Linked DNA regions of Nothobranchius furzeri. The protein of the gene in region 2 binds, or shares a complex with, the protein of the main gene of each other region. Links are inferred from orthologs where the notes say so. Each region holds a gene or a part of one and is shown on either strand. Other genes may lie near its edges. The genes, in order: pdrg1, pfdn2, ruvbl1, pfdn6, uxt, uri1 and polr2eb.

What was found.
Region 1: pfdn2 (region 2) and pdrg1 share a complex: the UniProt entries of both Homo sapiens proteins name them as parts of the PAQosome complex. The link is inferred for Nothobranchius furzeri from reciprocal best matches to the Homo sapiens genes PFDN2 and PDRG1.
Region 3: pfdn2 (region 2) and ruvbl1 share a complex: the UniProt entries of both Homo sapiens proteins name them as parts of the PAQosome complex. The link is inferred for Nothobranchius furzeri from reciprocal best matches to the Homo sapiens genes PFDN2 and RUVBL1.
Region 4: pfdn2 (region 2) and pfdn6 share a complex: the UniProt entries of both Homo sapiens proteins name them as parts of the PAQosome complex. The link is inferred for Nothobranchius furzeri from reciprocal best matches to the Homo sapiens genes PFDN2 and PFDN6.
Region 5: pfdn2 (region 2) and uxt share a complex: the UniProt entries of both Homo sapiens proteins name them as parts of the PAQosome complex. The link is inferred for Nothobranchius furzeri from reciprocal best matches to the Homo sapiens genes PFDN2 and UXT.
Region 6: pfdn2 (region 2) and uri1 share a complex: the UniProt entries of both Homo sapiens proteins name them as parts of the PAQosome complex. The link is inferred for Nothobranchius furzeri from reciprocal best matches to the Homo sapiens genes PFDN2 and URI1.
Region 7: pfdn2 (region 2) and polr2eb share a complex: the UniProt entries of both Homo sapiens proteins name them as parts of the PAQosome complex. The link is inferred for Nothobranchius furzeri from reciprocal best matches to the Homo sapiens genes PFDN2 and POLR2E.

What each region holds. Positions count from the first base shown.
Region 1 is NC_091743.1:5,381,415-5,385,869, reverse strand, and holds pdrg1 (p53 and DNA damage-regulated protein 1), read right to left. Parts: upstream 3,153-4,455; 5' UTR 3,082-3,152; coding exon 2,998-3,081; intron 2,859-2,997; exon of another isoform or gene 2,690-2,858; coding exon of another isoform or gene 2,660-2,689; intron 2,550-2,659; coding exon 2,474-2,549; intron 2,252-2,473; coding exon 2,177-2,251; intron 2,095-2,176; coding exon 2,014-2,094; intron 503-2,013; coding exon 420-502; 3' UTR 338-419; downstream 1-337. UniProt on the Homo sapiens protein: May play a role in chaperone-mediated protein folding.
Region 2 is NC_091742.1:74,820,780-74,825,250, forward strand, and holds pfdn2 (prefoldin subunit 2), read left to right. Parts: upstream 1-1,424; 5' UTR 1,425-1,646; coding exon 1,647-1,727; intron 1,728-2,571; coding exon 2,572-2,660; intron 2,661-2,778; coding exon 2,779-2,902; intron 2,903-3,130; coding exon 3,131-3,322; 3' UTR 3,323-3,605; downstream 3,606-4,471. Other genes in the region: nit1 (deaminated glutathione amidase), read right to left, coding at 1-46. UniProt on the Homo sapiens protein: Binds specifically to cytosolic chaperonin (c-CPN) and transfers target proteins to it. Binds to nascent polypeptide chain and promotes folding in an environment in which there are many competing pathways for nonnative proteins.
Region 3 is NC_091743.1:48,428,562-48,433,338, reverse strand, and holds the start of ruvbl1 (ruvB-like 1), read right to left. Parts: upstream 3,041-4,777; 5' UTR 2,907-3,040; coding exon 2,766-2,906; intron 1-2,765. Other genes in the region: eefsec (selenocysteine-specific elongation factor), read left to right, coding at 3,626-3,932. UniProt on the Homo sapiens protein: Possesses single-stranded DNA-stimulated ATPase and ATP-dependent DNA helicase (3' to 5') activity; hexamerization is thought to be critical for ATP hydrolysis and adjacent subunits in the ring-like structure contribute to the ATPase activity.
Region 4 is NC_091741.1:28,885,071-28,889,705, forward strand, and holds the start of pfdn6 (prefoldin subunit 6), read right to left. Parts: upstream 2,857-4,635; 5' UTR 2,735-2,856; coding exon 2,671-2,734; intron 2,549-2,670; coding exon 2,478-2,548; intron 2,400-2,477; coding exon 2,275-2,399; intron 1-2,274. Other genes in the region: mmgt1 (ER membrane protein complex subunit 5), read left to right, coding at 3,301-3,379, 3,640-3,692, 3,770-3,873. UniProt on the Homo sapiens protein: Binds specifically to cytosolic chaperonin (c-CPN) and transfers target proteins to it. Binds to nascent polypeptide chain and promotes folding in an environment in which there are many competing pathways for nonnative proteins.
Region 5 is NC_091755.1:47,134,508-47,139,069, forward strand, and holds uxt (protein UXT), read left to right. Parts: upstream 1-1,623; 5' UTR 1,624-1,801; coding exon 1,802-1,887; intron 1,888-2,190; exon of another isoform or gene 2,191-2,213; intron 2,214-2,527; coding exon 2,528-2,609; intron 2,610-3,045; coding exon 3,046-3,113; intron 3,114-3,251; coding exon 3,252-3,359; intron 3,360-3,522; coding exon 3,523-3,586; intron 3,587-3,851; coding exon 3,852-3,914; 3' UTR 3,915-4,083; downstream 4,084-4,562. Other genes in the region: cdk20 (cyclin-dependent kinase 20), read right to left, coding at 361-474, 566-640. UniProt on the Homo sapiens protein: Involved in gene transcription regulation. Acts in concert with the corepressor URI1 to regulate androgen receptor AR-mediated transcription. Together with URI1, associates with chromatin to the NKX3-1 promoter region.
Region 6 is NC_091744.1:78,623,794-78,628,308, forward strand, and holds the start of uri1 (unconventional prefoldin RPB5 interactor 1), read right to left. Parts: upstream 3,195-4,515; 5' UTR 2,911-3,194; coding exon 2,839-2,910; intron 2,140-2,838; coding exon 2,105-2,139; intron 1-2,104. UniProt on the Homo sapiens protein: Involved in gene transcription regulation. Acts as a transcriptional repressor in concert with the corepressor UXT to regulate androgen receptor (AR) transcription.
Region 7 is NC_091748.1:48,498,262-48,501,557, reverse strand, and holds part of polr2eb (DNA-directed RNA polymerases I, II, and III subunit RPABC1), read right to left. Parts: intron 1,142-3,296; coding exon 1,061-1,141; intron 984-1,060; coding exon 925-983; intron 821-924; coding exon 742-820; intron 1-741. UniProt on the Homo sapiens protein: DNA-dependent RNA polymerase catalyzes the transcription of DNA into RNA using the four ribonucleoside triphosphates as substrates.

The DNA.
Region 1 (4,455 bases), on a different chromosome or scaffold from region 2:
ATCAGCTCCTCCGGGCACGTCCAACCGGGAGGAGACCTTAAGGAAAACCCAGGACACGGTGGAGGGACTATGTCTCTCACCTGGCCAGGGAACGCCTTGGGATTCCCCGGAGGAGCTGGCGGAAGTGGCTGGGGAGCGGGAAGTCTGGACCTCCCTGCTTAAGCTGCTGCCCCCGCGACCCGACTCCGGATAAGCGGCCAAAAATAGATGGATGAATTTTTAATTTCTTGTGCTTGTGAAGCGTCTTGAGGGAGGGCTTGTTGGAGGGTTTTAAAGCACAAATCAATACGGTAATCCTAATTTCTATAACATTTTTGTTCAGCTTCAACAACATCAGTTACTGTCCTGGATTTATTGAGCAGAGCTGTACAGAAACTGGGTTTAACACGTCGGCGTTTTCGTCCTCAGCAGTTAGCTGCTCATCTCTTCAGAAGGCTGGTGATAGCTTTCATCTCATCAGAGGATAGAGGAGACAGATTATAACCTCTCAGCTCAGGATTTCCTGAAAGCAAGCAAACAACAAAGAAAAAATATCACAAACAACAAATACTCTACAGACAAACATGAGGTGCTTCAAAGGATCAACTCAAACAACAAATAAATGTTTTCCAAACACCCATCAGCTCCGGCACCGCCATCACTCACGCCAGCTGCTCGTCGTGTGAGATCAAACCAACAACACCAACATCACTGATAAGCTTCAGGTGCAGGTGCTAGCAGAACAGCCACACGAGTGGTTCGTGCAGGTGGGGCTCAGCACACGCCCCTGTGGAGTGAAAGTCTGAAATAAATAAAACCGTGATCATGTGATCCTCAAATCTGATCTCCTTTCCAGCGTTCCTGACTGACCCGGGATCTGTTGTGTCTACTATTGTACAGGTCCGGGGCGAGCCCAGTTGGGGGGTTGGGTGTGTGGGCTGCAGGAGCCCAGTGACTGAGCTGACCACACGGGGAACTTGGTCGTTTTTCCAGGGTTTTGTCCTTTTCGTGGCCCGACCACGGTCATTTCTATTTACAGCTGTGGTCGTCTGTCGTTGTCTGAGTGTGAGACGGAGAGGCTGAGCCGTCCACTTCTTGCAGGAACTGAAAATAATTTATTATTGTGACGCTTCTCTTTCAGAAGCCGCCTGAATGTTTCAGAAGACAAAAACTGTTACGGTAAGCCAAAGAACGCGTGAAAAATGTGTCAGAGCGGCGTTTTGTGATAAAACGGGTCATCACTACTAACTCTTTCTCCACTCAGATCCAACAACTTATCACACGGAAGGATTCACAACACCTGTTGGGAGACAGCTGGTGCTTTGGGCCGACAGCTCACTGAACTAGAACCTTTAGTTCTGAAACAGACACTCAACCCTAACCCAGCACCAGATGGACTCCAGCAGCAGAAGACCACACCAGCTGTCAGCCAACAACAGGAACCTGGGCCTCAAATCCCCACAGCATCACCAGAAGGGACCGGAAAACGTTGCCTGGTCTGACGAGTCTAGACCTCCAACACCAGGATCCCAGTGTCGGTGCTTTTTCATCGAGTTCCTGATTATTTTCTTTGCAGTCAGAGTTTCTTACTGTTTGTGCCTCATAATGAAGAGAAGTGTGCTCACTAGGATGCAGTTCACGAACAACAATGTCCTGCTATGAAAATGGACCTCTCATTAAAACAATATGAAGCTGGAGGATTAGTTTCCAGTGTTGCTTTTCTAACAAACGATAAATATTTTCTAAATGAGCACACTAAACGTTTAGGAAGTGTCCGAGAGACTGCAACCAAATTAATGGTCACATTTATTATCATTATTATTATAATAACCAGAATAATAAACTCTTTAAAAAGCTTTAGCTTTCATTTAGTGCCCATAAAATAAATGTTAAATGAAGAAATGGTTCCAGGTCCATTCTGATCCGGAGACTGCTGTTTCGTGAGGATCTATGAGGTGAACAAGGGTCTGTAGTACCGGTGCTTGAATCATTAGTGTGGTGGATGGAACCGCTGATGTGTCACAACACACATACCTTCGATCTCGTTGAGACGACCGACTTTAGTTCTCAGCTCTTTGCGAAGGTGGTTTATTTCCTTGTCCAGCTGCTCTTGGTCTGCAGGTTGGAGAAACGGCTCAGACTAAATTCGACTCGTGTTAAAAACGGAAGATCTAACTTGTAAACGATAAAGGATCACCTTTCCGGATCATCTGCGTCGTTTTAGACTTGGAGAACTTGATGAACATGTTTCCAAAGCAAACCTTGACTTTTTCTGTGGACGGCAGCAGAGGCGGCCATTACTCCTTCATCACCAGGGTCACCAATAAACAACCACGAGTTTCATAATTAGCCTGAGATTATTTACAGATTACACGTGTTCCTTTAGGCAATAATAACAGACGGATGTTCCAGCTTTATGGGAACGTTTGGTTGTTGTAGCTACAAGGGTTCCTCTGTGGTGTTCTGGTGGCCTGAGTGCTGATGGATCACAAACCTTTATCCGACATCTCATGTTTCAGTGCGTTCAGCGCCTCTCTGTTGAAGTTTCTCTTCATGTCCAGGTCAACAATCTGAAACACACACACACGTTTGTTTTAAGGGAGGACATTATTAACTGGGATATCCGTGCGTGTGTGTGTGGTTTTAGAACAACAGTTTTCTTCAGATATCATGAACGCACCACCTGACTGGACCAGCTACAGAAGGACATTTGACTCTAGACAACATCGGTGTGGTGACGGGTAAATGAAGTGTTGAACCAACACCAGAACTTAGCTCTCTTGGCTCCAACCGCTAAAATCCTCATGCATAAAGCTGCTAACGCACAGAACTGCGTCTGAAAACCGCGTACGTCACATCCACTCACACTTGTTAGCATGAAGCTAGCAGCTGTAACCCGCTACGGGTCTCACCGCGTACGTCACTTCCACTCACACTTGTTAGCATGAAGCTAGCAGCTGTAACCCGCTACGGGTCTCACAGAACCAGCCTGGCCACGGTGGGTCTGGATGTGTTTACCTGTTGTTTGGCGGTGAGAACATCCTCAGCCGCCTCTTCCACTTCAGTCAAGCGCTCCAAAACACGCAGAGAAGCGTCGTCCATCTTTGAGTCTTCTTCTTCTGGGCTAACGGTGGACTACCGCCCCCTGCTGGAGAGAGGTCACCTCCGCATCCGCCGCGAAGCTTTTCACAAATGTATTTTCAGAGGTGTGACCATAGACTGTACATACTCCACATACAAATGTTTTTCTGTATTTTTGTAAATATTCTCATCATAAACTAAATAAATAGGAAAAACATTTTCAAAAGCATGTCCAAGTGGGCTCAAATTCTTCATGTATAGCAGGTGTGACCAAGTCACTGCTTTGCAAGTCATAAGTAAGTCACAAGTCTTTCCATTCAAGTCTAAAGTCAAATCCAAGTCAAAGACAACCAAGTCCAAGTCAAGTCCTTAACTTTGAATTTTCAAGTGATAATCAAGCCATCTGTCCAACTTCTATTTAATGACGATGATAATAAATTAATTCCAGAAAAAAACCTTCTTAAAGCTTCTTTTTTTTTGCTCAAACAAGCAGAAACTGAGACTGGTTATAAACAAAGCGCTGCTGCATTCAGCAGTAAATCAAACCCAGAACCAAGAATGATTTATGATTTTTGTCCATGTCGTGCCACTTCTGTGACAAAATATCAAACATTCTCAAGTCATCATCAAGTCAACAGATGCAAGCCGATTCAAGTCACAAGTCACTGGTGTTCAAGTCCAGTCAAGTCATAAGTCTTTATAGATTTTATCAAGTCAAGTCAGAAGTCATTCAAATAATGACTCAAGTCTGACTCGAGTCCAAGTCATGTGACTCGAGTCCACACCTTTGTGTATTATAGTCAAAATGTACAAGTTACTGTGCAAAACAAACAAATTACAAATCATTTTCCTTGGACCAATAGAAAAAAGTCCATCGTTCCTGAAACTTCAGCTGAATCCCTTCCAGAAACATCTGTTATTGTCACATAAAATAAGAGTGGACTCAGCATTAACGCCTTTAAACCAAGTTTCATGATGGACAGGACTTAAAAGCAACATTACACGCACGGTGGTCACGGGTGTAATGAACTGACCAGGTTTGAAAATGGACCCAAATATTCCAGAAACAGTTTTCAGACTTTCAATTTTCCACATTTTCCTCATTCAAACGCAGCAACACTCAAATAAGTACTTTTTATACTTGTGACAGTTTAAATGTTCTTGATTTAAAGAGCATAAGTTCTGATTTGGAAGCGATAACTTTTCTTTTGGAGCCAAACTTTCCCGGTACACATCCGGTGGAGGAGACTGAGCCCAGCTTGTGGGTATAGCCTCGCTCCACAGGAGCCTCAGCTGGTCCCCCATGGGCCTGGCTCACCAGGTTAGGCTACAGTAACACTTATAGATGAAATGCTTGAGGGTTTGGGAACCTTTTAATGGTTTGAAGTTTGAGTT
Region 2 (4,471 bases):
AGTACTTCACAGACGATCTCAAAATGCACCTGGACATTGGTCCCATACAGCGTCACCTGAGGAGTTTAAACCCAGCTGGTGTTATTATAACGTTTGGTTAACCATCGACAATTACATAACGCGAGCAGCCCCTTCTTCTCTGCGATGCAAAAAATGACCAGAAATGTACATATAGCACCCTACTGCCACCTACTGGAGACTTTTTATAACAATATGTGGTAATAACAAAAAAACAAAAATAAATAAATAAAATAAAATAAAACTTTAAATGTAATGAAAAGTCCATTGTTTTAGGATGTGGAATAGTTTTTGAGTTGGCAATGTTTTTATACTCCTAAAATTGTTTTTAAAGTATTATAAATGCATCATAATCATTCAAATATAACACAGGTTTATAAATAACTATCAAAAATACCCTTAAACCAGACTGAATAAATATATTATTTTGCAAAGCAAACGTTTGGTCTAGTTCACTAATAAGATATAAACAGCACGTATACGTCGCATTTCAGTCAACTTTGAAGACATATTGACAATAATATTGTGTGTTTCTCAATTACAACTCTTTTCGTAATCATTCTGATTATTATGGCAAAGTTTTACATTAATAAATTTAAGTTCAGGTGCACTAAACCATGCATTGTTGCTTTTGAAAACAAATTCAAACAACACATTTAATGTGTTCAATCTTCTGAAAACCCCAGAGCAAATAAAAATCTAGAGGTCTGTATGAGGTTAATCCGCTTTCAGCAGTCCTTTACAGCGTTTGAATTATAAAAATAAAAAAATGTCGATAAATGCATTTAAGTGTATTTTTGTATTAAAAATTTACATGTATTTCTTCATTTGTTTTTAATTATTGATTTTAATTTATGTACGGTGTGCTTCTGATTATTGTCTAACATGAAAACTTTTGTTATTTTTGTTCATTTTTGTTTTGCTTTTGATGTTACCTATAGGCTGCTGTAAAGCACATTAAGTTACCTTTGTATAGGAAATGTGCTATACAAATAAAGCTGTCTTGTCTTGTCTTGGCGGTGTGCAAATTAATTAATTTAATGATTAATATGTCCTTTGGCTGAAATAAAGAATATTTGAAAGAGAAAAAACACGTCTAAAACTCCACGATGCAGAAACTGCTTTAATAAATAAGCTAGATTCGGAAAATGGGCTGCATGGTGGCGCAGTTGTTAGCACTGTTGCCTCGCAGCACGAAGGTTGCAGGTTCGAAACTCGGCTGCGGCCTTTCTGCGTGTTGCGTGTTCTCCCCATTCATGCGTGGGTTTCCTCCGGGTACTCCTGTTTCCCCCACAGATCAAAACATGCCCCATACGTTATAAATTGCAAGTCACTTTGGATAAAAGCCTCTGCCAAATAAATAAACATAAACATAAAATAAAAAAGCGTATGCACGAAAAAACAAAAACAATACAAAGTTGATGGAAGTTAATAGAAATTATTCCTTCAAATGCCATTTTATTTTATGTTGAATTAAGTTGTATTTTGTTTGCGGTTCTGCTTCTGAGTTTTTACATGAAAAAGTAAAAGATGGTTGCAAAGTAATTTAGATGTTTTACAAGCCGCATTTGCACTCAGGCAATCTCATTAGATAGCTGCAGGGTCCTAATTGGCAACACCCTTCCAAGATGGCAGCGAACGGTAGCAGCACGGGTAGCAAGTCCAGCAGCAGCGCCGGCGGAAAACAGTCCGGACTTTCAGCTGAACAGGTACTCTCAATTATATAAAAAGGTTTCATTTGTCGTTACAATTATTTCTGTTGTTGTTTGGCTCAGTTTGGTAAAGCAGAACTAAAAGTATAGCCCCTAGCTAGTCTAAGCTAACATTAGCATTCCTGTCGCGATCATCTGGCTCAAAACCCAAATTTGGACATCGGGAACCGTTAGGAGTCTAATAAGGACATTATGAGAGTTTACATCAAACTCTTACTTCTAACAATTTTTACGTTAGTCTATGTATTTACGGTTTTGAAATAATGTGTTTGGTTTGGTGTGACTAAGCATAAAGCTATTTTTGTCCACCTAACCCTAATAAATTATTACTCAGACCATATTAAACAAATCACTGCTGTAATGTCTGTAATACAGTGCACTGTAGTCCGTAATATATCCTTTAACAACAATAATGGCAACATTAGAGTCGAGCAATACCTTCAAATATGTGTCAAAACCTTTATTGATCAGGTTTTACAAAAATAATAATAAAATGTAAATATTGCCATATTGTATCATAACCTTTTTGTTATTTTCTTACATATAAAGTCTATGACTCTGCGTAAATGGTGATTAAAACCATCAAATAAACAAAGTTTATGTCCACTACTTCTAAAAAGTTGTAGATTAAATCTGATAATAAAATTAAACCTTTACCATTAATGAGTTGCTGCATTATGTACATTTATTTAATAATCTTTTAAACAAAATTGTAATATGCTAATTACCAGTTATGACTTTAAGAGTTTGGTTTCAGTAGACAACTAAGGAGTAGCAGCATCTGTTTTTTATTTATTTATTATACTTAATAAAAAAATGATCAAATTCCATTTGTTTTCAGGTGGTAGCAACATTTCAGAGGATGCGTCAGGAGCAGCGTAGTATGGCTTCGAAAGCTGCTGAGCTGGAGATGGATGTCAACGAGCACAGGTTGGTGGAGCATCATCTACATTTATGTTCTAGACACAAATGTTTCACAAGATTTTGTAGGGGAAACAATCCAAAAGACAGACCGTTTAATACCTTTGCTATTTCTTTTCATATTTAGTTTAGTAATTGAGACCCTAAAGGAAGTGGATCCTTCCAGGAAATGCTTTCGTCTGGTTGGAGGAGTGTTGGTGGAAAGGACAGTAAAAGAAGTTCTACCAGCCTTAGAAAACAACAAAGAAAAGGTAATGTTATTTATTTCGGTCACAGGAATGATCAGGAGAATAAACTGAGACATTTTAAATCACTTATTTAACACCAAAATAACAATAAGTGTACATCGAGTTAATCTACATAATTTCACAAGAAAGAGTTTTGTTTATAGGTTTTGAAGTCAAAAATAAACGTTTAGGTGTCAACTGCAGGATGTTTCGTTTGTCTGATTTCTCATCCATCTTCCTCTGTTCTAATAGATTTCCAAAATAATCGAGACCATCAACACACAGATGCAGGCAAAAGGACAGGAGCTCACAGAGTACAGAGAACGTTACAATATCCGGCTGGTTGGAGAGGGTGAAGGAGAGGCGCAGGGCCAGTCGGCAGCAAACTCGCAAGACAATGAAGGAGGAGGATCCAAAAGTGGAGCAGGAGTTCTGGTCTCATAATGCTTTGAGGATGGACAGGGACAGCAGTGCCCTGTTATTTCTGCAGCACTGAAGAAGAAATGAAAACTAGCTCAAGTCAAGGAATTTAGGTGGAAAACTGAACTTTTCATAATGTTCCTTTTAGTTTTCTTGTTTAACTGTAATTTCCTGGAAGTTGTAATAATCATGGTCATCTGCTTCTCTGTTCAGTTGTTTATGTCCTCATTAAGGTCATTTGCCTTGCAGATGTTTTTTAAAATGCTGTCATACATTCAGCAAATAAATTAAAATGCCATAAAAAGGATTTTGAAGTTGCTGACATAAGTAAAAACATTTATCTTTCTCATCTAGCATATAAATCCTGTTGCACTGGGATGAAATTTTTAAAGACATTAAAAAAAAGTTAATGTCAGAATTAGATCCTTTTGCATTGTCATTAAGCATACACAATCGAAATTTATTGGTATGTCAGCTTTGAAAACGCACAAAGCTTTAAAAATGATGTACATTTTTGCGAAAAGGATGTAAAGGACTGAAAAACAACAAATAATTAAACGTGACTCATGAACAGGAGCCAGTACACAAAAGGAAAAATGGAGAAAAGGAAGAGGTTTCTCATGCTCACCAGATTATGTCATTGCGGCAGAGCCTGCCTCAACTCGACAGTACAGTGAGCTCTCACTCGGTTTTTACACTGCACACACTTCCAAAGCTTTACGGAAATAGTGCTTATGAACGCTTTCAAAGTAAAAGCCAGTCTCTGAAACGTGTTTTCAGACTTATTTCAAACGAACCATTCTAGAAAAAAAAATTTGAATCCAAAAGTGATCAACAAAAATTTTTATCACCATTTTAACTGTTTTTTCAAAACAAAGGCATATTGAAATTTGTTAAAATGTCTAAAAAACGAACAGGAGAAGCCCAAACATGGGTTTATTTAAATGAAAGACATTAAAATTTTCTTACTTTTCGTTTAGTTAATTTTTTGTTATCTTGTAGAGTAACATATAAACGGACCATATTAAATGTTACACATGACCACAGCACATTATAACAATATCACAAAAAAATAATAAAAAAACAGATTCTGTAGCCAAAGGTTAATTAGCAAACCCAGTTGGCTGGATTTTCCAATACTGCAAAGATAAAGTGAATCAGTAACGAATCAAT
Region 3 (4,777 bases), on a different chromosome or scaffold from region 2:
ACACCAGTAGAAAGTTGACTTGAGTGCATTTGGTGAAATGACCGATCTGTTGTTCAATTTTATAATCATCTACAATTATGTAGTGTACAGTGAAACAACCCAAAACAAATGAATACAACAAAAACAAAAAATGCATACATTTTTTACCAGCTGAAACCTTTCATAAAGAAAAACCGGAAATAAAAATTTGAATAATCCTAAAAACATTTATTTACTTACTGTTGCAAAGGTGGTGCAAACTTATCTAACATAACCTATTTAATGCATCAAATTTCAAAGAAGAAAATGTTGCAAACAATGGTATTTCTTTTTTAAATGTATTATTATTAAATTTGATCTGACATTTTATTAGTTTTTAATTAAGATATAAATGAAATTACAAAATGCTACAACGCTTTTAAAAACTGTGGTATTTGTTATTAAAAACAAGTCGTGGCTGTCGGTGCTAGAATATCCTGATCTTTGCTTTTTACCAACACAAAATTATATTAGAATACTCTGGGACGTAATTTTGGGGGGGGGACGGGTGGGACATGTCCCCCCCACTTTTTCAAAAGGCAGTTTCGGTCCCCTTCACTTTTTTCCGTCCAAAACCAATATTACGCTCCATTAAATGGATTTGATTGAGCACTAGGACCGAAACGGAAACCGGTTTCCTATTAGACCCACCCAAAAGCTAATCTATTGGCTCTGCTGATACTTGCTAACGTATTATTGGCTGTTGCTGCTGTCACTCAAGTTGTAAACAGAACGTGCTCACGTTGTTTTGCTAGTTTGGAGCCGCTAGGGAACACCGGTACTGAGTCACATCGTCAACTAGACGCTGTGTAATATCAGAGCTCAGCTCAGCTTCCATTATATAACATTTGAATAAGTGTTCATTTGTGAGTCTTTGGTAGTTATGCACAGCCAGGCGGCAGCATGTCAAGAAACGAAAGTGGATATAAGAGACTTCTTTCAAAGTCAAAACGTAAGTTGGAACATGTGACACCCCTGCATTAAGCTCAGACTCACCTCCTCCTTCACAAACATACTCAAAACTAACTTTTACAAACTAATCTCCTCCACATAACTGACTCCTCAGACACAATTTATTCGTATTATTATAATTATTATTATTTATTATTATTATTACTATTATCATGATTATTATTACTAGTAGTAGTAGTAGTAGTAGAAGTGTAACTTCAAAACTTTTATCATTTAACTTTGTTGTAAACTTATCTATTGCAATGTATATGTTCACATTAAAAAGCTCTGAAAAATGAACAGTATCATCATCGTCAACAGATTTTTTAAGCTTAATGTCAAAGATGTACTCTTTTCATTAGATTTATCTTATTTTTTCCATTTATTTTTTGTGTGTTGAAATGCAACAACTGTTTAAACACTTTTAAGGGAAAAAACATATTTAATATGTTTTTATACACTCAAATTGGTAATGAATAATTTACACATTATATTAATAATAATTGTGAATCATACTAGAACCATCCTGTAAATATTTCTGTTTGTTCCATTCCAAAATCTCCCACTGTTTATAGTTCATGCATCTTTTTTTCAGGTGAGTGACAGAGATGCAGGAGGAGAGACCGGTGAAGGTACAGCAGGAGAGGCTGTAGGAGATGGAGGACGAGAGCCTGGAGGAGATGGAGCAGAGGCTGGAGGCTCACAGGTGAGGTTGAAATAATGAAGATACGATAGACATAAAATTGATCATTGTGACAAATGTTAGGGTGATGATCATGTGTAAAACATTAGTTCAGCATGTCCTCTAACACAGCAAATGAAATAATGGCCAGATCTCAGGAGGGACCGTTTATGTATAAATACTTTTTATACTTTTGACTAGGCCTGGGAAAGTAACAAATTTTGCTGGACGATATTTTGTCCAACAAATTGTTGATGATAAACGATATCATTGTCAACATTATCTAGACCAAAATAACCACTAATATAATGTTAATATATCATAATAATGCAAGTACACCCTTTAAAATGCAACAAATAAACCTTCATTTAACATTGAAATGTCCAGAACCAGAACTTCTAAATGAATAAAAATAACAAACAAAAATTAAATAAAAAAAAGAATCTCACTCCCTGTTAGAAAATGTTGCACCAAAAACAATAAAAAAAGACCCAAAACAATAAATACAATGGCCTATCCATTGTCAACAGCCAAAACTGCACTTCAATAATGATAATAAATATTAATGATAATAGAGTTGTACATTTTTTAACTTTGATATATATATATATATATATATATATATATATATATATTGAGGATGGAAAAATTATTGAGATGGGCATGTGACGTGTCAAAGGGTCTTTACATAACACCCCCACCCCAAATCCGCACAAGCCTGCTGTGTCCCCCCCACTTCTGAAATCAAAATTTCGTCCCTGAGAATACTACATGATGTATATAAACATGCTGGAACATTCATGTGGGATATGATGCACTAATCATAAGCCTTTCTCTGCAAAAAGATCTATGTAACTTCTACCTGTTCAGCTGAGGAAATAAGTCATGCATTTATGAAAAAAAATCTATAAGGATCGAAAATAAGGAAATTACAGAATTCAAATTTGATCAATGAAATTAATGAATGGATGAAAAAGTGTGATCGCTGCTAACAGCTTTAGCTTACGGCGTATTAAACTGTCAACAGTGAGCTAAATAATCTATCACAAATAACTATAAGATAATTAATTTCAAACATAGACTACTAACGGCGACGCAGTGCACTTGACAGTACCTCTCTAGCAGCCTCCTGGCCCACCAGTCCACATGCTGTAGATTTAGCATTCCCGGCCTCGTCGAGCCCGAGTCCTTTGACGTGACTATGCGAGGCGATCCTTTGAGTTTTTGTGGTACTTTTTACCTCCTCGATTTTCATAGCTGTGTTATTTATATCAATGAGTAATGTAAATACCACGACCTACTCTAAAGACGCTTTAAAACTCGCTTTTACTTAAGCTAATTCCTCACTACTGTAATCGGCGCCGAAACTCAAAACACAGAGAAATCTGTTTCCATGCGGGTTACTAAGGAAAGTAAGCGGAAATGATACCCTGAGGTTCCGCCTATTTTACAGTGGTCTAGAAAATAATTGGATGTTGTGAAATTATGTAAAGATTCAATTGGCTTACTTAGGTGTCAATCATTTTTGCACACTTCCGGTTGTGTTTTGTTTAATTTGTCGTACAAGAAACAACAAGAAATTGACAAAATCCAAATAAATGTGTTTCATTTATCTTACGCGAAACAGTAAATAACACGTTATTCACACATTCAGTTATTCTATAATTATAGAAACAGTAACTGAAAAAACTTCAAAATTTCTCTTTGTTCTTGCTTGCTACTGAAAGGGTTCCGCTTTAGTTTGTAGTCCTGACGATCAATAACACTGATACCAGGGACCACGATTCTTGTTAAGTCCTTTTTGTAGCTAAAACATTTAGTAAACTACTAACTTGTAAAACAAACTTTTAGTTTTAACAAAAACAACGAACCGCGTATAAACAACAAGTGACGCTGCGTGTTGAGTTCAAATTCAAGCTCAAAATTCAGGAAAATACGCATGCTATCGACAAAACTTCAGCAGATTATTGAGAAATGTCTGAGTCGCCACCTGACAGCCGGGCCAAGACGCTAAACTTTAATGTCGGGGTGCTTGGACATGTCGACAGCGGCAAGACGTCGCTCGCCAGAGCACTGAGCAGCACAGCCTCCACGGCGGCCTTTGACAAGAACCCGCAGTCCCGAGAGAGGGGCATCACTCTGGACCTCGGCTTCTCATCGTTCACGGTGGATTTTCCTGAACATCTGCGGGAAAGCGGAGGGCAGCAGCCGTATGACAGCCTTCAGTTCACCCTGGTGGATTGTCCGGGTCACGCTTCTCTCATTCGGACTATCATAGGAGGTGGGCTCTTAAAAAGTGGTGGACAAAAATACAATGAAATACATTAACAATAAATGTGTGAATGCTCCCAGACTTAATCTAGAGTGCCAGAAATTTTCTGTAAATACATTTATATTGCTTAAATAACTTAAACTGGCCATAAAAGAATACAAAACCAGCACAAAACTGTGCTAAATGAACAAAGTCACCAAATTGTAAAATTTGACTATTTTTATACAGCCACAATCAGACAAAAATAATTAAATAAAGTTTTATTGCAACGTTAAAATTAGTTTATTTTGCTGCAATCGTCCAGCAGAGGGCGCAATCTTTCTGCAAAACAACCATGAAAACAATTGATGGGGAAGAGATGCTGCAGTTTGGAGACCCCTTATAGTGGTTCCCAAATTTGGGGTCGGGACCCCACTGCAGGTCACCAAGAAGTACACAAGGGGTCATGAGATGATTTGCAATTGGTAAAGCGCATTTTCTAGGATATAAGTGAACACGGGTGGAAGCGTTTAGCTGAATCGTTTAGCTTTTTAAGCATGTTTGTGCCACCAAATCAAAGAAACCCGGGGTCACGTCTTGTTAATTCTAGAAATGTAATTTTTTTCATGCAAATTACCTGTGAAGCTCACAGTTTTATGATGGTTAGCACAAACACAGAGATTGTTATGGCTATGCAGGGTATTAAACACTACACAGTGTAGCCAACATTGTAAACAAACCCAGTAGCCAGTGGACTTGCACATGCTGTAGATTAGGGAGGAAGAAAAGAGAGTAGATTGGGGTATGTATTAAACTTCCCCTTCAGTCCCAAGTGGGAAGTGCACAGGAAAGAGAGACTGCCAAATTCAGGAAAA
Region 4 (4,635 bases), on a different chromosome or scaffold from region 2:
TAAGTCCAGCACTCTGAAGTTGCAAGCGTGATATTCTGGCCACAGAGGGCTGCGGGGGTCTGAGTTACATTTCTGTAACCCTGCTGAAGGAGTCATCACCTGAAGTTTTCACCTTTCCACTTGAAAAAAATCCATATAATGTCTTCCTAATGAATTTTCACTGGCCGGGAAGCCAGTTTGCTGCTAAATAAAATAGCCAATCGTAGTTGAGTCCTTCTAGCCAATCAGAGGCGAGAAAGGCGGGATCTTTCATGGACACCCTACGGTTCCAAATGACACGCCCAGCACAGCCGAAATATCGCGTGTGCTCTTGTGAGAAAACCTGTCCTTTACAAAAAAGGGTCAGAAAAGCACTTTTTTAATTAATTTTCCAATACAAATGACTTTCATGGCCTAAATAATATAATGTGATGTAGATATCCACGGTAGTAACGGGTGATGACTCCTTTAAGGGTCATTCTAGCACATACTTACTCAAGAAAATGATTAAAAATATGAAAACTTTACATCGTATCCCTTTAAGGTACGTTTCAACATAAATGATTGTGTGTCCGAAACAGAATGCCTTGTAGGAAAATTATTTTTGTTGTTGATTCGATCCAGCCGTCACATTTTTCTGATTTTTCAAGCTCCACTCTCAAAGATGGAGGTTGAGGATTAGGAGGAGAGGAGGAATAACCAGGATAACTGAACCTGAACGGGAGGTGTTCCTGCTCCTGCTGAGCCAGTGTGAAGGCGGTGTGAGCGCCATGGCTTCTCCAAAGTTTAGCAGGTTTTTCATTTGTCTCATTGCTTTTGTATTTTTCAAATTTTTTTGTTTGTTTGTTTCCAGGTTTAAATATGCGATTGTCTCTGTGTCCAATACAATTAATCCTTCGTTCGGCTGACAGCTGGGATTAGTCAGCATATTTTAATATGTGACACATTGGGTGTCGAGTATCAAAATACATAATCCTCACAGTCAGAAATATGGAATTTGTGTTTTTTAATTTTAATTAACTCACAATCTCTGGAAATATGTAATGATGAGAATAACAAGCAAAATTAGTAAAACTATTATAATTCTGGATTCGATTGTTTTTTTTTGTATTTTCTGATTTTGTATTTGATTCATTTAATTCCAGCAGCAGGTATTTACTCAGATTTACTGAAACATTCCTCTCTGGTTCTAACTGGGAATGCCGGTTTTCCAGTCTAATTCTCCAGTAAAACAAACTGCTGGTCTTTGTGGATGAAGTTTTCCGTTCCTCTCCAACTTCATCTCTTCAGTGCTGCGTTTTGAGTGGAAAAGTGACACGCAAAAAATATGCTTCCGTCAGTGCACACTCAAGAGGTGAAACGTATCATCCTAACCACCGCCATGCTAGAACCCGGAATCGCTTAGTGAAGGATTCGGTTATGTCAAACACGCTAATTTAAGAAAGTCCCTTCATGTTCAACTAAAAATGAGACTTCCTGGTTAAATAAATGGTTTTAAAAGCGACTGTCAGCAGCTTCAACCCACAAGAAAATAAGGAACTATGGTGGATCCTGTTTAACTCACTCACTGCGCTGTTTTCTGATCAGAAATCCCCTGGCTGCCAGCGTTTTTGAGCGTTTTTACTGATTTTGAAGAGTCAGAACGTTGTGCTCTATGATCATGCAAACGCCAAAACTATCGAAAGAAAGAGTAGACTCACTTTTTACATCAGGAAGAATCACCGTGTTTCTAGCGTTAACCATTCTTTCACAATCTGTTGTCCAAGTGTGAGCTGCAGACGCTTTTCTGGTTAGCGCCTCGCTTTTTTCACAGCAGCGTCCCAAAACAATATCCCAATTCATGGATTTTCTCCTTCCTGATCAGGTGACGTGTGACACACGGACTAAGATCAGCTTTAGAGACGTCATGTTTACTCTCATGGTGCGGGGGCTCGATCCCACGCCCACCCCGTTAAAACAATGCAACTGACAGCTTTAGTTGTCAATTGCAGCGAGCCACTGGATTTAAAATGACGTCTTTAGCTGTCAATGGCAATAAATGATAAGGGCCAACTGTTTTTTTAATATTCGCATTAATTTGATGATCTCATCTCTGCGTCTGGCATTGCTCAGAATTACATTTTATGTTTGTTTCCATTAAGATTCCTGCCTGAGTCTGAGTAAAATCAGGGTTTAACCGGCTTCGTCCACCTGAAATTGTAAAAACAAGATCAAATCTAACCATCTTTCACCACTGTGACACAGACATTGGTGTGCAGGTGAGCTGTAGAACAGTAAAGCAGCAGCTTGACTTACACTTCCCCGTTGATGTACTCCAGTCTTTTAGCCACGGTGGCTTTGGCCTCATCCAGATCTTGTTTCACTAAAACAGGACCGATAAGTTTATAGATGGTGTTTGAGCTGTCGAGCAGATCCAGCTCCTGGAAACACAGGCGAGTCATGTCTGGATTATTACACACAAACCGTTGTGATATACAGCCATACAGGACTGAAGTTACCTCTTTAACAATGTTGTTCTCTGTCAGCTGCGTCTCCAGTTTCTGTCTGGCTGACATGTTCTTGCTAACATCTGAAAAAACACGCAGGTGGGTTAAAAAACTATTCTTATGGCCAAAAAGCTAACGTTACTTCATGCACACATAGCGGCTACATGCCCTCTAAAACTTGTGATAGCACATAAAGAAAACCCACCTTTCTGCATTTGTGCATACTTTTCTACTTCCGCTTTTAATTTCTTCTGAATGGCGTCTGCCATGTTTGCTTATTTTATCTTACACAACTGTAAAAGTTTAATTATTGTAACAGAGCGCTTAGCAAGGCAACATGAGAGAACAGCGCTAGCTAACAGGAAGAAGCTACGCAGAGACCGGATGTAGTGGAAGATTCAGGGCACACTCGGATATTCTGGTTTTAAATCGAGGTCAGAATAAAATTATGTGTATCTGGACTTATTTTGACGCAAACGCTCACTAAACCATGAAAAGCTCTTTCTAGTTATACATCTAATCTTCAATTTTCGATCAAATATATTGGTTGGAGATCAATGAGTTTGGTTAGAAACATGTAATTTAGGATGTGATTCGAATGCACCATTTGACGTCTGACAGCTTTCTTTGGGTATTTTCAGCTCACAAAAATCTAAATAGAGGGCAAAAACACATAAATAAAATGATTTTACAGATATCAGGCTGCGAATAATAATATTTAACGAACATAAATAATCATTTGGCAGGTAGGTTTTGGTTTTGACGCAGTGACAGTTGCGTCAGTTTACGACTGTTTTACGACGGTGCCCACAGTCCCTCTGAGCCCTGCTTCGAGATGGCTTCTTCGTTTTGGAAAGGTGTTGTCGGCATCGGACTCTTTGCCTTGGCCCACGCAGCGTTCTCGGCAGCACAGCGTGAGTTTCAGCGCCAAGATGTTAGACCGATGTTTTCCTGTGTTGGTTAGTTCTGGTTGGACTGAGTCTCCACCGAGTGAAGGACCGCGGGGCCTGTGGCCACAGCAGCTTAGCTAGCTCCGCTAGAGCCTCCAACGGAGGAAGACTTTAATCTGTACCTGCTCGCTTCTGTGTGACTGCCGTCGTTTAATGTTTGGATTAAGAGTATTCTGTGAGTTATTGTCGATATTACTCTGATTAAATCCCAACTCTCCCATCAGATCGGTCATACATGCGGCTCACAGAGAAGGAGCACGAAACGCTGCCTATCGACGTGAGTAACCCATCTCTGGTCTTCAGAGAGAGCCCTGCTTTTTATTTGTCTTCACCGTCGTCTTGCTCCCACCACAGATCGTTCTGCAGACATTATTATCGTTTGTGATGACCTGCTACGGGATCGTTCACATCGCTGGAGAGTTCAAGGACATGGACGCGTCCTCGGAGCTGAAAAACAAGTGAGTAGATTCCCTTTACAGCCTCCGGTACCGGATCTGTTTGTGACCCGGTTCGATTTCAGCTCTGTGGAACATCCCTCCACAGGGACACTCTCAACTCCCATAAGGCAGTTCGGCAGATACACTAGTTAGGGATGGACAACCACCAGAGCTCTGTTCGACGAGACTAACATCTCTCGGTTCTTTGTCTTATTTAGGTTGAAAAACACTAATTTGTTGAAACATCTCATTATTCAGTTGTTCTCGAAACATTTGCAGTAGTTATTAAGTTCGCTTTAAAATGCCAGGAGACACGTTACTGTTGGGGACAAATTATAACGTTTATTCTGTAGTTGTATTAGCTCTATGGTCCATGCAATTTTTTGCACCAAATTCCTCTCATTAAAAGTTGTATTCTTGACATTTTCAGTACCACACAGAATGAGCCGTTTGAGGGCTCTACCAATGCTAATGGGCTGTTGCTGGCCATGCCCACTAGCGATGGGTACCGAATTCGGTACTTTTTAAGGTACCGACCGAATTCCATAGAACCGACCGAGCACCGATTCACGTCATTTCAAACGGTGCCTCGTTTCGGTTCCCGTCCTTCATAACGAGAACTTGGCTAGACAGCTGCGCATGCGCAAGAGCGTTATGTCGTCGGTCGCTGCGAGCGAGTTGTAAACAGAGCAGCATGGTAGAAAGAACGCACGCTAACGCTTGGGTCCACTTCACTAAATGTGATGGGTAACTGGGTGATGATGAAACCAGCGACAACGATCT
Region 5 (4,562 bases), on a different chromosome or scaffold from region 2:
TTTTTATCAAAGCAGCTGAAGCTGAGCACCGAGGGTCCACCAGGTGTGGTGCTGTAATGGAACCAGATTTCTGCTCAGACTTAAAACCAACAGCAGATCTGGGCAACCAGGCACTTACCAGCCCCCCAGATCTCTGTGATGCTCCTCCTCGTCTCCTCAGAAGGAGGAATAGAGAACGTAAAATCATGGAAATCTGTTAATTTGGCAAATAGCTTTGTGAGGAATGGCCTGCAGATCAGGTGGATTCAGGACTGTGGTTCTGACACCATCACGAACACCAGTTTGTGGCATTTCAGTAGCATCAGGTCTGACACCTCGCTGTCCTCTGAACTGGGCAGAAGCAGCTGGAGGGACACTCACATACTGGTTGTCCTCAATCTCCTGCAGGGCCTTGATCTCCCTCAGAGCCTGGTTCGGGATGCCGTCTTCCAGCCTCCTCAGAGCCACTTTCTTCAGAGCCACCGTCTCTCCTGTCTGAGAGAAAAGGCACAAGACGAACATTCTGAGGAGGAACTGCTCTGCACCTGGAACCAGACCCAGAGGCTGGATCTTTTGCTATCGGTACCTCAATGTGTTTGGCCTTGAACACAATGCCGTGAGCTCCTTCTCCGATCCGACCCTGGATGCTGTACTGCTCCATGTCTGGGACAAGAACCTGATCCGGTCTGCTGATTTCTGCAGGAAGACCAATTTTTCATCTGATTCCACATTAAAACTTCAAGCTGTAACATTAAACTAAATAAGATATAGGTGACCTCTTTTTGAGAAAGAAAACACCTCCCAGAGCTTCTTTTACCTCCTCCAGCTGACCGACAGGAGCCAGAATTCAGACCGGAAACAAAGCTCCGTGTACAAAAGACGCCGTTTACGATTTTGCGCGTTTCAGTTCAATAAAACACCAACGTTTCTGAAATATTACGGAACGATAACTGAAATAAAGGTCGTAAGTTTTATTCGGGTTCTGAGATTATACATAAATCAGCTCGATTTCAATTGGATCCGAATTTTACAGAGGATGCTAACTCGTGTTGCCATGGTAACGTCACCACTAAGCTAAGTTAGCTCCTATGGCTTAATGAAACCGTCGAAATAATTTCAATTCGAGCAGAAATGTTTCCTGATAGTCGTTCAAGCCTGAAAGCGCGGCGAGGAGATCCGGTTTTCGGGCCTGAAACGTTTGAAAACGTTTTGTTTCAGACAAGAGCTGCGTTAGCTACGGTCACGTGACAACGGAAGTCACGACACAGATCCAAATCAGCTAGAAAAGACTCACATGTCAGTCAGAAGTGAAAATTAAATAAATAAATTATATATATATATATATATATATATATATAAATATATATGTATGGGGTTATGACATGAATGTGTATATAGGTTTTATGGGTTTTACAAATGTGTAATTTGGATGTGTTTTTAGAATTTAGAGATTTTAGTGCCGGCTGCTTCACAATGCTGTCTCGAATTGCCCCTCGGGGACTAATAAAGTTGTCTTGAGTCTTGATATATATATATATATATATATATATATATATATATATATATATATATAATCAGTCTGGAGCGTCTTCGTCTAATGCATCTATCTGTTTTATGTCTACATGCTTTATTTTGAAAATTTGGGGGCACTCAATGATTTAGTTCCGGTGTAAAGAATTATTTACATGCTAGCTTGGCATGCTAGCTGTGCTAACGGCACGTTTTTGTGTCCGAAACGGTTAATTTACATTGAGCAGAAATTCATCTGAACTGAATTAATCCGCATGAAGTTATTATTGTTGTTATTAATCTGAAAAGCTGCATGGAGGAACCTGTCGCTGAAAACGTGGACCGGAAGGTTCTGCAGTACGAAACGTTCATCAACGAGGTTCTGAAGAGAGATTTACGGTACGATTTAACTCGTATAGTTGATTTAGTTTCTCAGCTCTGCTCCTCTGTTTGGTTTTGAATTCTGAGTAGTTTCACAGATCCTGGTTTAGTTAGGGCAGGGTTGGTAGCTCTAGCTTGAAGCAGGTAAATAAAAGTTGGTGCTGGGTTCTGATGAATCTAAGCAGTTTCCGGTTAAGTTTTGATGCGATGTTTATGTCTCTACAGACACGATCATTATAGTACAGGTTAAGTTCTTTAAACGTAAATCATAAAGTTGTATTAAACACATTTGTGACAATCACTATGACCAGTGACTGGTACCTGGTTACCATGGCAGCCCCCCAGAGGGCGGGGTCTATCCGGCTAGAGAAGTTGACGCTTCATCTGAGCGACCAGAACAAAAGTCAAACTGCGGTGGTGAGTCCACAGAGTCGGATGATGTTCTGGTCTGTGGAATCAGAACCAACCAAAAAGATCCAGTGAAGGAGAACCAGAGAGTGGGTCCTGGAGAACCACGGATCCCTGGTGTGGTTCTTATCCAATAGAACAGTCAGAAAATGATTGCAAACTCATTTCAAATACTCTATTTTGACACCTCACACACACACACACACACACACACACACACACACACTGATGAAGGTGTTCTGTTTGACAGGAAGGTGTTGGAGCAGAGAGACCAGGTTTATGAGAAGATCTCCCAGTACCTGCAGCTGAAGAACACGATCCAGAGTCTGCAGGTAGTGTGTGTGTGTGTGTGTGTGTGTGTGTGTGCGTGCGTGCGTGTGTGTGTGTGTGTGTATGTGTGTGTGTGTGTGTGAGAGAGAGAGAGAGAGAGAGATTTTAAGGAGGGAGGCATCACTCTGGGAGGATCATAGGGCCTCCTCTAGGATTTTTTTCAGTTGTTTGAAATATTTTCAGCTAACATCCGCCATGTTTTAATCTCTGGAAACCTTTTAACTGCTGATGAAAATCCAGCGGAGCTGTGTGTTCTGGATCAGGAGTTCTGTTCAGGCCCGATCCAACAACAGACCAGTAACCTGAGCTCTTTAGGCCTCGTGCTGTCAATCAGAAACGCCTGTTTGTTTGTGATAGAATTTTGTGTGTGTGTATATATTTATATATGTTTATATCATGATGATGACGTTGCGGTTATGTCACTCCGTGTTCTTGCAGGAGGCGGAGTCCCAGCAGCTGAAGACAGACGTCGATCTGGGCTGCAGCTTCTATGTTCAGGCTCAAGTGTGAGTGTCTGTCTCTCTAGAGTGTCCAGCTCCTCCCTCCACAGACATTTAACCTCTTTTAGATGTTTGGTTCTGGTTCTGAGCAGTTTGGTTGTGTTTGGTCCCGGTTCTGACCCGTTGTTCCCCTCCTTTGGACAGAGACGACTCGTCCAGGATCTTCGTGGCGGTCGGTTTCGGGTTCTTCGTGGAAATGACCCACGATGAAGCTCTGCAGTTCATCACCAAGAAGACGAGTCAGCTGACAGTGTGAGCTCTGTGTTGCCGTGACAACACAAACTTTTTGTCACACGTCTCATTTTTGTCGAGCTGAGATCTAGTTCTAAATAAAGTTGAGGGAGTTTGAACGAGTGCTGTGTTAGCTCAATGTTCGGAACCAAAGATGCTAACCATGCTAACGCTTGTTTTGCAGCTTCACAGAGCAACTCACTAAAGACGCCGCCAAAATAAAAGCCAACATCCGCATGGTCCTTGAGGTCAGTTATTATGTCTATGATCTGAAGCTCTTTAATATTTGATTTGAGTTTTTCTGCTGAGTGTTTGATCTTCTATAAGTCAAAGCGAGTCAGAGACTCGGTAAGATCTGAAGTAGAGCCGGTCCGGTAGCGTCGAGGTGAGTTGGTGCTGATGGAGAGGGACGTTCTCCTCTAAAATCAGATGTGTTCATCGTGGAACCACGGAGAACCCTGATCCTCCAGATGAGGTGTCTGATTGGCTGCTATCTTCTTCCTCTGCCTTCAGGGTTTGCGGGAGCTGCAGGGACTCACCGACCTTCCCGAGAGCCAAAGAAGAGACGTCTTCTAGACTTTTCCTGGTTCTGGGCAGCAGGTGCTGCTGGGGCTGGACCTCCGGGGGAGGAGGAAACTCCTCTTCCTGGGAGGAGCTTTGTGGACAGCAGGACGAAGGTCTCCTCAGATGTTTGAAGAACATCACAGCAGTCATGAGTCTTTCCTGATTAAAATACTAAACTGAAGTTCATGTATTTTCATTTTTTCATTCATATTTTATTAATAATGAGGTTTTTAGTTTGGATTTGTTTTATTTATGTCAAACTTTAGTTTTTGTGTATATTTTTTATTGGATGTAGTTCTACTTTAGTTCTTTCTGGGATTTATTGTAATAAAATAATATCATATATTTTAGGCTTAAATGGGTAAAAGTTGTTGGTTGTTTATTTGCCAACATTTCATTTCCTGATGAATAAAATCATTCACACATTCTTCTTATAATAAATAATATTTTTAGACCTAAAAAGTGTTATTTGTCTTTTTGAACAAGCTGATTTAGATTTAAAGTGAACTTTTTTTGTTATTTTTAAGATCTTTTCCCGGTGTTATGGTTTATTTGTCTCTCAAAACCAAATATAAACTTTTGAAAGGAATTTGTCGGAATGTTCCTGAGGAACGCTGAGACGTTTAGCGGGTTTGTTGCGTTGGAAGAACGGGAACGTGC
Region 6 (4,515 bases), on a different chromosome or scaffold from region 2:
GCAAAGAGGCTTTATTCTTCATCAGGAGGGATCACTTGTGTGGCTCTGCTGGTCTAGATTAGCCTGGCAAGCCAGACTAAATAAATGTATTATTTGCAAAGCAAGAATTTGGTCTAGTTCACTAGGCCAGGTCTAGATGGTTTGGATCTGAGATTTATCGAAAATAAATCTTTAATGCAAACAGAACTGCTTTTTAACTGACTACCATCATTTAATACTTGAAGCTGCAAATCAGCTCAGCCTGCTCATGAAACGTGAGCCGCCATCCGACCTGAAACAACAACTGCAGGCCCCTGCTGTGTGATCCCGGGTAATGCTGAAGGGAACTCGCTGCAGTCGATGAAAGCGGACACACTGGAGCTCCAAAGCCCACACCGCTGTTCCCACTTAATCTTTGAGTAAAGAGCTCTACTGTCTTGACGTGCACACACACACACACACACACACACACACACACACACACACACACACACACACACACACACACTCTTCTGGTCCTTTCATTAAGTCCAGGATTCAATCACTTCTCAGCATCCTTCTCAAGTTATTTTGGAGAGCTGTTGTCCCCAGTAGAAGCACAAATGCATGTTTGTCTTTCTTTGTTCGTGAGGGCTTCCATTGACTTCCATTCATTTTTGTGACTGCATTACGCCTAACCCATACCTGCACAGTAATGATAACCAATGCAGATCTATTCCTAACTAACTTTAACTAAAACCTGATTCACACCAAACCTTAAAACCAACTGGTGGACTTTAAGGAGTACTGGGGACTGGTGTTCGGACAGAACACCATACATATCAGAGCAGCATGAATGCAGTTTATGCACGATCATCTAAACCTCCTCTGCATTCTGAGCCAGCTCAGTGGCCTAGTGGTAGAATGTCCACCCTGAGACTGGGAGATCAGGGTTCGATTCCTGGTCGGGTCATACCAAAGACTTAGAAAAAAATGGGACCCAATGCCTCCCTGCTTGACACTCAGCATTAAGGAGTTGGATTGGGGGTTTCAACCACCAAATGGTTCCCGAGCGCAGCTGTGTCTGCAGCTCACTGCTCCCCCAGGGGATGGGTCACATCAGTGTGTGTGACAACTAATGGGACTTTAACTTGACTTTAACTTTAGCAGCCGTCAGTTCAGCATACAGACAGCAAAGTATGAGAAAAAGTGAGTCATTTATATTTTTAATGATAACTGAGTGGCTGCACATTCACTGGTGTTTTGCAGTTTATTTCCAGTTGTGTTCATGTTTTACCATCCACACCAACAGACTGATAAATGTGTATCACAATTTTTTATTTTTATTTTACCACCTTTTATCTCTAAAAAAAATAAAAATAAAATTAGACAATAAAGTAGGGATGCACAGATATGATACTGGTATCGATACCAGTACCAGTATCGTATCGGTAAAAGTTAACTGATACCAGGAACCGATACCAATGCAGTTGCTTGAAAATGGCTTCCCTGTAACTTGTCATTTCTGTTCACCTAATATTTTAGTTTTGTGATGATTTCCATTCATATATTTTACTTTTTATCTACCTCACAGTCGTCTCCTGTTGAAAGCAGAGAAGAAAATACAATCTGTATTCCAAATCATTGCATTTTTTCGTGTGGTAGAAGTATCGGTATTGGTAATCGGCATCGGCGAGTACTCAGATCCAAGTATCGGTATCGTATCGGTTTGGAAAAAAGTGGTATCATTGCATTCCTACAATAGAGCTTTAAAAAATATACAAGTCTGGGTGTCATACGTTTTTTAAAAGTGTATGGTGATCTGATGGGTAAACTGGCCCAGCAAGATGTCATTCAGTTGTTAAATTCTAAGTGTTTAGTGATCTCATGAGTAAACTGGGCCATCAGGGTGTCATATGGTTGTTCTAAACAAAGTGTATGGTGATCTAATTGGTAGAACAAAAAACAAGTTAAAAAATCACAAATCTATTAAGTGTCAAAGTTAAGGGAAAAAACACCTTTTCAGATTACATTTTCAAAAAATACTTTAATCACAGTGTAATATAGTTCAGGATTACATTAGAATAAAGTAGAAAACCATTCCAAACCTTTTCTAGAGACATTCTTGTGAGTTTTGGATGCTTACCAGTGCTGAATCCGACTTTCACAGTCTTTCACCACCTGTTTTAGGACAGATCATTTTAGTTTGTTTACAAATTCAGGTCAACACAATCTGATGTCAGGATAATACATATATTTATTCCTACTGGGAATTTTCAATTCATAAACGCCCTCAATTGTAATAAATAGGTTAATAAAGTTGTGTTGGCAAAGGGAAATTAAATGTATATAATTATTAGTATTGTATTATTAAATAATACAAATGCTCCCCCCCCCCCCCCCCCAAAAAAAACTGTCAAAAACAAAATAAAAGGCTAAGCTTTTGCTTTCTCTTCAACAAAACAGCTGGCTCACGTCTGAACTTTAGTTTTAGTCAAGCTCTAATAACTTCCGGTGACCTTTTGAGTTGTTATAGGGGGCATAGGACTTCCCGATTTGCATTAGACAATAATCTAAATGAATCAAAGCAAAATCTTAAAACTTCCACACAAGTGAAACTTGTGTGCAAGTAAACAAAATTAGCCAAACACACCTCCAGGCTTAAATTTGAACGTAAGAAACTTCTAGAAGGAAGCTAAAGGTAACCTAAAAACACAGATGAGACATGTGACGTAACCAGTGTCGTGCAGAGGCGTCTGTGCGCAGAAGAAATAAGCTCTTCAGCTGACCCACTCGTGGTTTAAACACTCCCAAATGATCCAACCGCGTGGCTCGGCTGGCCTCGCGGGTTCTGCCCACCACCTAAACACCAAAACTTACCTTCTCGTGTTCCTGTCGGAGCCTCGCAACTCCACCGAGACGCTCCAAATTCATTTTCCCACCTTCAGTCATCGTCAATTCACATGCAAAACGGTCAATCTGTGCGTTTTGTGACCCACAAAAACAAAGCTCAGGGGTTGTTGTGAGTCCTAAAGAAGTGTTTATGAATCCAGCAGACGCTATTCCTGAGACCCGTTCTGCACGTATTCATCAAAGGGGCAGTGATGGTTGTCCACACTCTCGGAGGTGATTTCATCTCACACACTCACTTCAGAATTTCTGCATTATTCCCAAATAAATCCACGGTTTCGGTATCCCAAAGATTAGCAGATTCTCCTCGTCACTTTCGCTGCGCCATGCACTCTACAGCAACACGGAAGAAGTTTCAGGCAGACTTCCGGTTAATATTTCCAAAATAAAACACTTCAATTCAAGTTTATTTAAATAGCGACAAGAGTCGTCTCAAGGCACTTCACATCATAAACATTCCAATTCATTAAGCCAATCAGAAAAAAGTTTCCTATATAAGGAACCCAGCAAATTGCATCGTACATCATTCCTCATACTAAGCAAGCATGCAGCGACAGTGGAGAAGAAAACAGTGGAAAGACACCTCCAGAGGATCCTGGCTCAGTATCAGCAGCCATCTGCCACGACTCACTCAAGAAGCGGTCTGTTGGAATAATATAATATAATATAATATAATATAATATAATATAATATAATATAATATAATATAATATAATATAATTCCATGGAGTTTGTTCTTATACAGATATATTTAATTCATTTTTTATATGATGGGCTACATTTAAACCACAAAACATTCAATAAGCTCATCGTCTCACTATAAAACTAGAAAAGTTTAAACCAGCTAGTGTTTTTATGGGAAAATGGGAACCTCACCCTTCCTACTTGCAGTTTTACCAGCTTTACAGCTTTGAAAAAATAAAACTACTCACTAAACTTTGAGATGAATGTCTCACACCAGAAAATTCTTCAACACACACACACACACACACACACACACACACACACACACACACACACACACACACACACACACACACACACACACACACATATATATAATTTTATTTTATTAAAATACCTTGTTATTGTATTTATGTTTTTATTTCATTTTTATTAAGTGTACACATTTAAAATGGAAATGTACAATCAGAATACACATTCATTCATGAATGTGTCTGGTTATAAAAGCAGCATCTACAATAACAGCAAAAATGTATGGTGTGCTTATGGGATGTAAAAAGATTGTGAATACCTCAGGTGTTCTTTTATTGAGGCATACAGGTATAGCTTAAGAAAAAAGAGGTCTGAGGCCATCAGGAAAATGAAGATGGTAGAAATACTTTATTGTTTCATGGCTAGTCAAATAAAAACAGGTTTCAGCCCCATTGACCTTGGTCAGGGAAGGGATTTGCATGCAGATGTATTTTAATCTTATTTACAATTTTAGAAATGAAACTGACCCCAACTGTCCTAGTCCTCTAATCATGAGAACTCATATTTCTACTCTTATGGGTCAAAAGTATCAGTACATGTTTCATCCATAATCATTTAATTTTGATTTTGAGTTTAAAGTTAATTATAGATGACTGCAAGGGGAAAAAAACAAGTTACAAATTAGATTTTTTTTATCATAAATGTAGATTC
Region 7 (3,296 bases), on a different chromosome or scaffold from region 2:
CACTGCGCCGTTACCTCCATCACTGTAAATAAAGGAGAAAAACAAGTTGATTGAATCCTTTTCTTACCCTTTCCACATTGTTTAATGTAAAGTTTCGTTCTGTAGAAAGTTTAATGACAATCCAACGAGACAGAGCCTGGATTTGTTGTCTGAACAGTGTAAACATGTTTTAAAAGGAGACGCGTCAAAAAGCGGCACCTGCGCAGGGCCGGTAGGCCCACACACAACGCCACGGCTGTGGCTCCCAGTGTTTTCTTTACTGTGGGAAACGGGTAATAACGGCTCTTTGATGGGAAAAGGTTGCCGACCCCAGATCTACTCAAACGACCAAGATTCCTTGTGAATAGAACATGCGCACCTTATGAAAGGGTTATCCCGATACGAGTTTACATGACCTGATACTTGGGTTAGAAAAGGGTTACCTCCAGGGTTAATTACCCGGTTTGTAAATACCCGGTTATGAGCACAACTGGGTTTTTGCCGGTGTTTACATGGCCGTGTGGAACCGGGCTATTGGCTGCATGAAAGCACGGTCACAGTTGGAAAACTCAAAACTATTTGTGTTTGCATTTGGACAATAACTGTGCCCATGACAACCCAGCAGTTTGTGTAAAATGTAAATGAGTGGCAAATAATATACAAGTGATGTTAGAGAACTCATGATGTGACATGTAATAATGAAAACTGGTCACAGGTCCTGTACAACTCTTACATGTGAACAGGAAGTACTCGGTGCTTTACCTGTCCTCTTTTCAAGCCAAAGTAGCGCGCCACAGGGTCTCCAGCCTGAATCCTCGGTAACTGACTTTCTTTTAGTTTACTGAAGTAATCATGTTAAAGAAAACAAAGGTATGTGAAATAAAAGCCCTCAAGCGTCAACACAAAACCTGCAGCATAGTAAAAAGAGGAAATCAGTAAGGATACTATCTTGCTAGAAGCTCGGTCACTTCCTCCTTCGTCATGACGATGTGCTCAGGTACAAGCTGAAAGTTCAGACACAAAACTGAAACCCACTATTCTCAGTATGTACACAAAAAAAAGAACATGATATGCTTTTTACCTCGTGCTCGGTGATATTAATAAGCAGCTCCTGTTGTAGAAACTGCTCCAGTATGTACTTCGGTGCCATGTCCACCAAAGACTGTCAGGAAATTCAGTTTCAACTTATTAGACAGGACAGTGAAAGCCAAATAAAGACAATTTTACTGATAAAATTACATGATCTTTTTTCTTTCTCCATAATAATGGTGTTTACCTTGGGCCTATAACAAGCTCTCCTCGGTGACACTCACCTGACTAGAAAGGGTGCTCGCTGCAGAACCACAAAGGCGGAGCTGCACCAGAGTCAGCCCCGCCCACTCACGCAAACAGCCTAGCCCACTGACTTCTTCTGTTTTTTATTTTTTTATTTTGTAGCAAACTAACCTAACCCACATGAATTACGGCTGTTACTAGTTTACAAATGTTAATGCTACGTTCTATGCTCCAATTAAACAAGATAAATATAACTTGCTACGTGACAAAGCCTGAATATATCCCGAAATGAAAAGGTTTCTTTTAGCGAATATCTGTCCATAGCCGCTCCAACAGAACCGGGCTACAAAAGCATTTAAGGACAATTGTTTGGTGAGCCCTGGTAATCTAGTGGCAACATCGTCACACCTAAGTTTTGCTTTCCCCTCAGCTGATGTAGGTTCAACTCTCGGTGGGGTCGGCAGCTATCTATTTATCCAGCTGAAACATTTAATTTGTTTATATTTTAGTTGTAATGTTTATTTTCTGCAAAATATTTATATCTCTAAAAGTTCTTTGAATTTGGTCGTTCCTAAACAGCATTTTAGTTGGAGCTCTGCTCACAAATGGACTCACACTGGCTAAATAACGAATAAATAGAAAAACAAACACATTAGTCATTATATTGTAAACGGTATACCAATAAATGGTTAAAAACATAGTACTGGCAAGTGTAGCTAGAAAAGAAGAAAAAAGTTTGCGCCGTTACCGGGAGGTGAACCTGCGCAAAATTACATGACAAGCTGACTGCACAACCAGTTCACCACTACATCTGATAACAAGCTAGTGGCATCACATGTAATTGTCCCATCCAGTGTGTTTTTGTAGATGGGATGTATGGTTTTTCAGCGGTGTCTCAGTAGAAGTCATTTCAGAGATAATTTGTCAGAAAATTCACAGAATATCCAGATTTGAGAACCAAGACCAGACCCGCTTCGGAGGAGAGGACCAAATTGAAGCTGAGATGGGAGGAAAATGTGTGAATGAGGCCAAAAATGGCTTTGGCGTGTTTCTTATGAGGAAATGATAATATAACATAATAAAAAGTTCCAAAAGTTAGATTTTTAATTATATGGAAACCTTTACAAAAACGGTTCAGTTAACCTCTCAACTCAGTCCTCAATCCTGCATTTTAGATGATATTAGCTATATCACCCTCTTTGGTTCCAGGATGCTATTAAGTCTGACAACTGGAAGGAATTGGACTGACTCTGATGGAATGGGCGGGGCTGACTCTGGTGCAGCTCCACATTTGTGGCTCTGCAGCGAGCACCACTTGCCTGTCTATGGGACTGTGGAACAGCCAATCAGCAGTAAACAAAGCAGACTTCATTACTGCATATGCCAGTCACCTGTCACTTGATGCCCTGGCTCTCACTGAGACCTGGATCAAACCTGGTGACGATGAACCCAGCTGCACTCTCAATCAACCACACTTCTCATGCATCTGGCCGAGGTGGTGGAACAGGCATGTTAAGTTCCAACAAATGGAAATACAGTCAGTTGCTACCCATAACTAAGTACATCTCCTTTGAATACCATGCCATCTGGGTAACTGCACCGAAAATTATTCTTTATGGTTGTTATATATCGACAACCAGGACAACACGGAGACTTTCTAGATGAACTTGACACCCTGCTCTCCTCCATTCCTGAGCATGACTGTCCCACAATGGTCCTTGGAGACATGAATATTCATCTGGACAACCCCATTTCATCAGGTTTCCTGTCCTTAATGTTATCATTTGATCTAAAAACGGTACAAAGTTCATTCTCTGCCAGCATCACTAATGCAAAGAAAGCTTTCTACACTGACAAAATTCTCAGCACTTCTGACACTCAGAAACCAACTCCCTTCCTCCAAATCGTGTGGAGAACTACCGACCTATCTCTCTCCTCCCGTTCCTGTCTAAAATCATCGAAAAGGCGGCCTTCAAGCAGGTTGCAGAGCACCTCTCACAAAACTATCTGCTTGACCCATACAAATCTGGGTTCAAAAATGG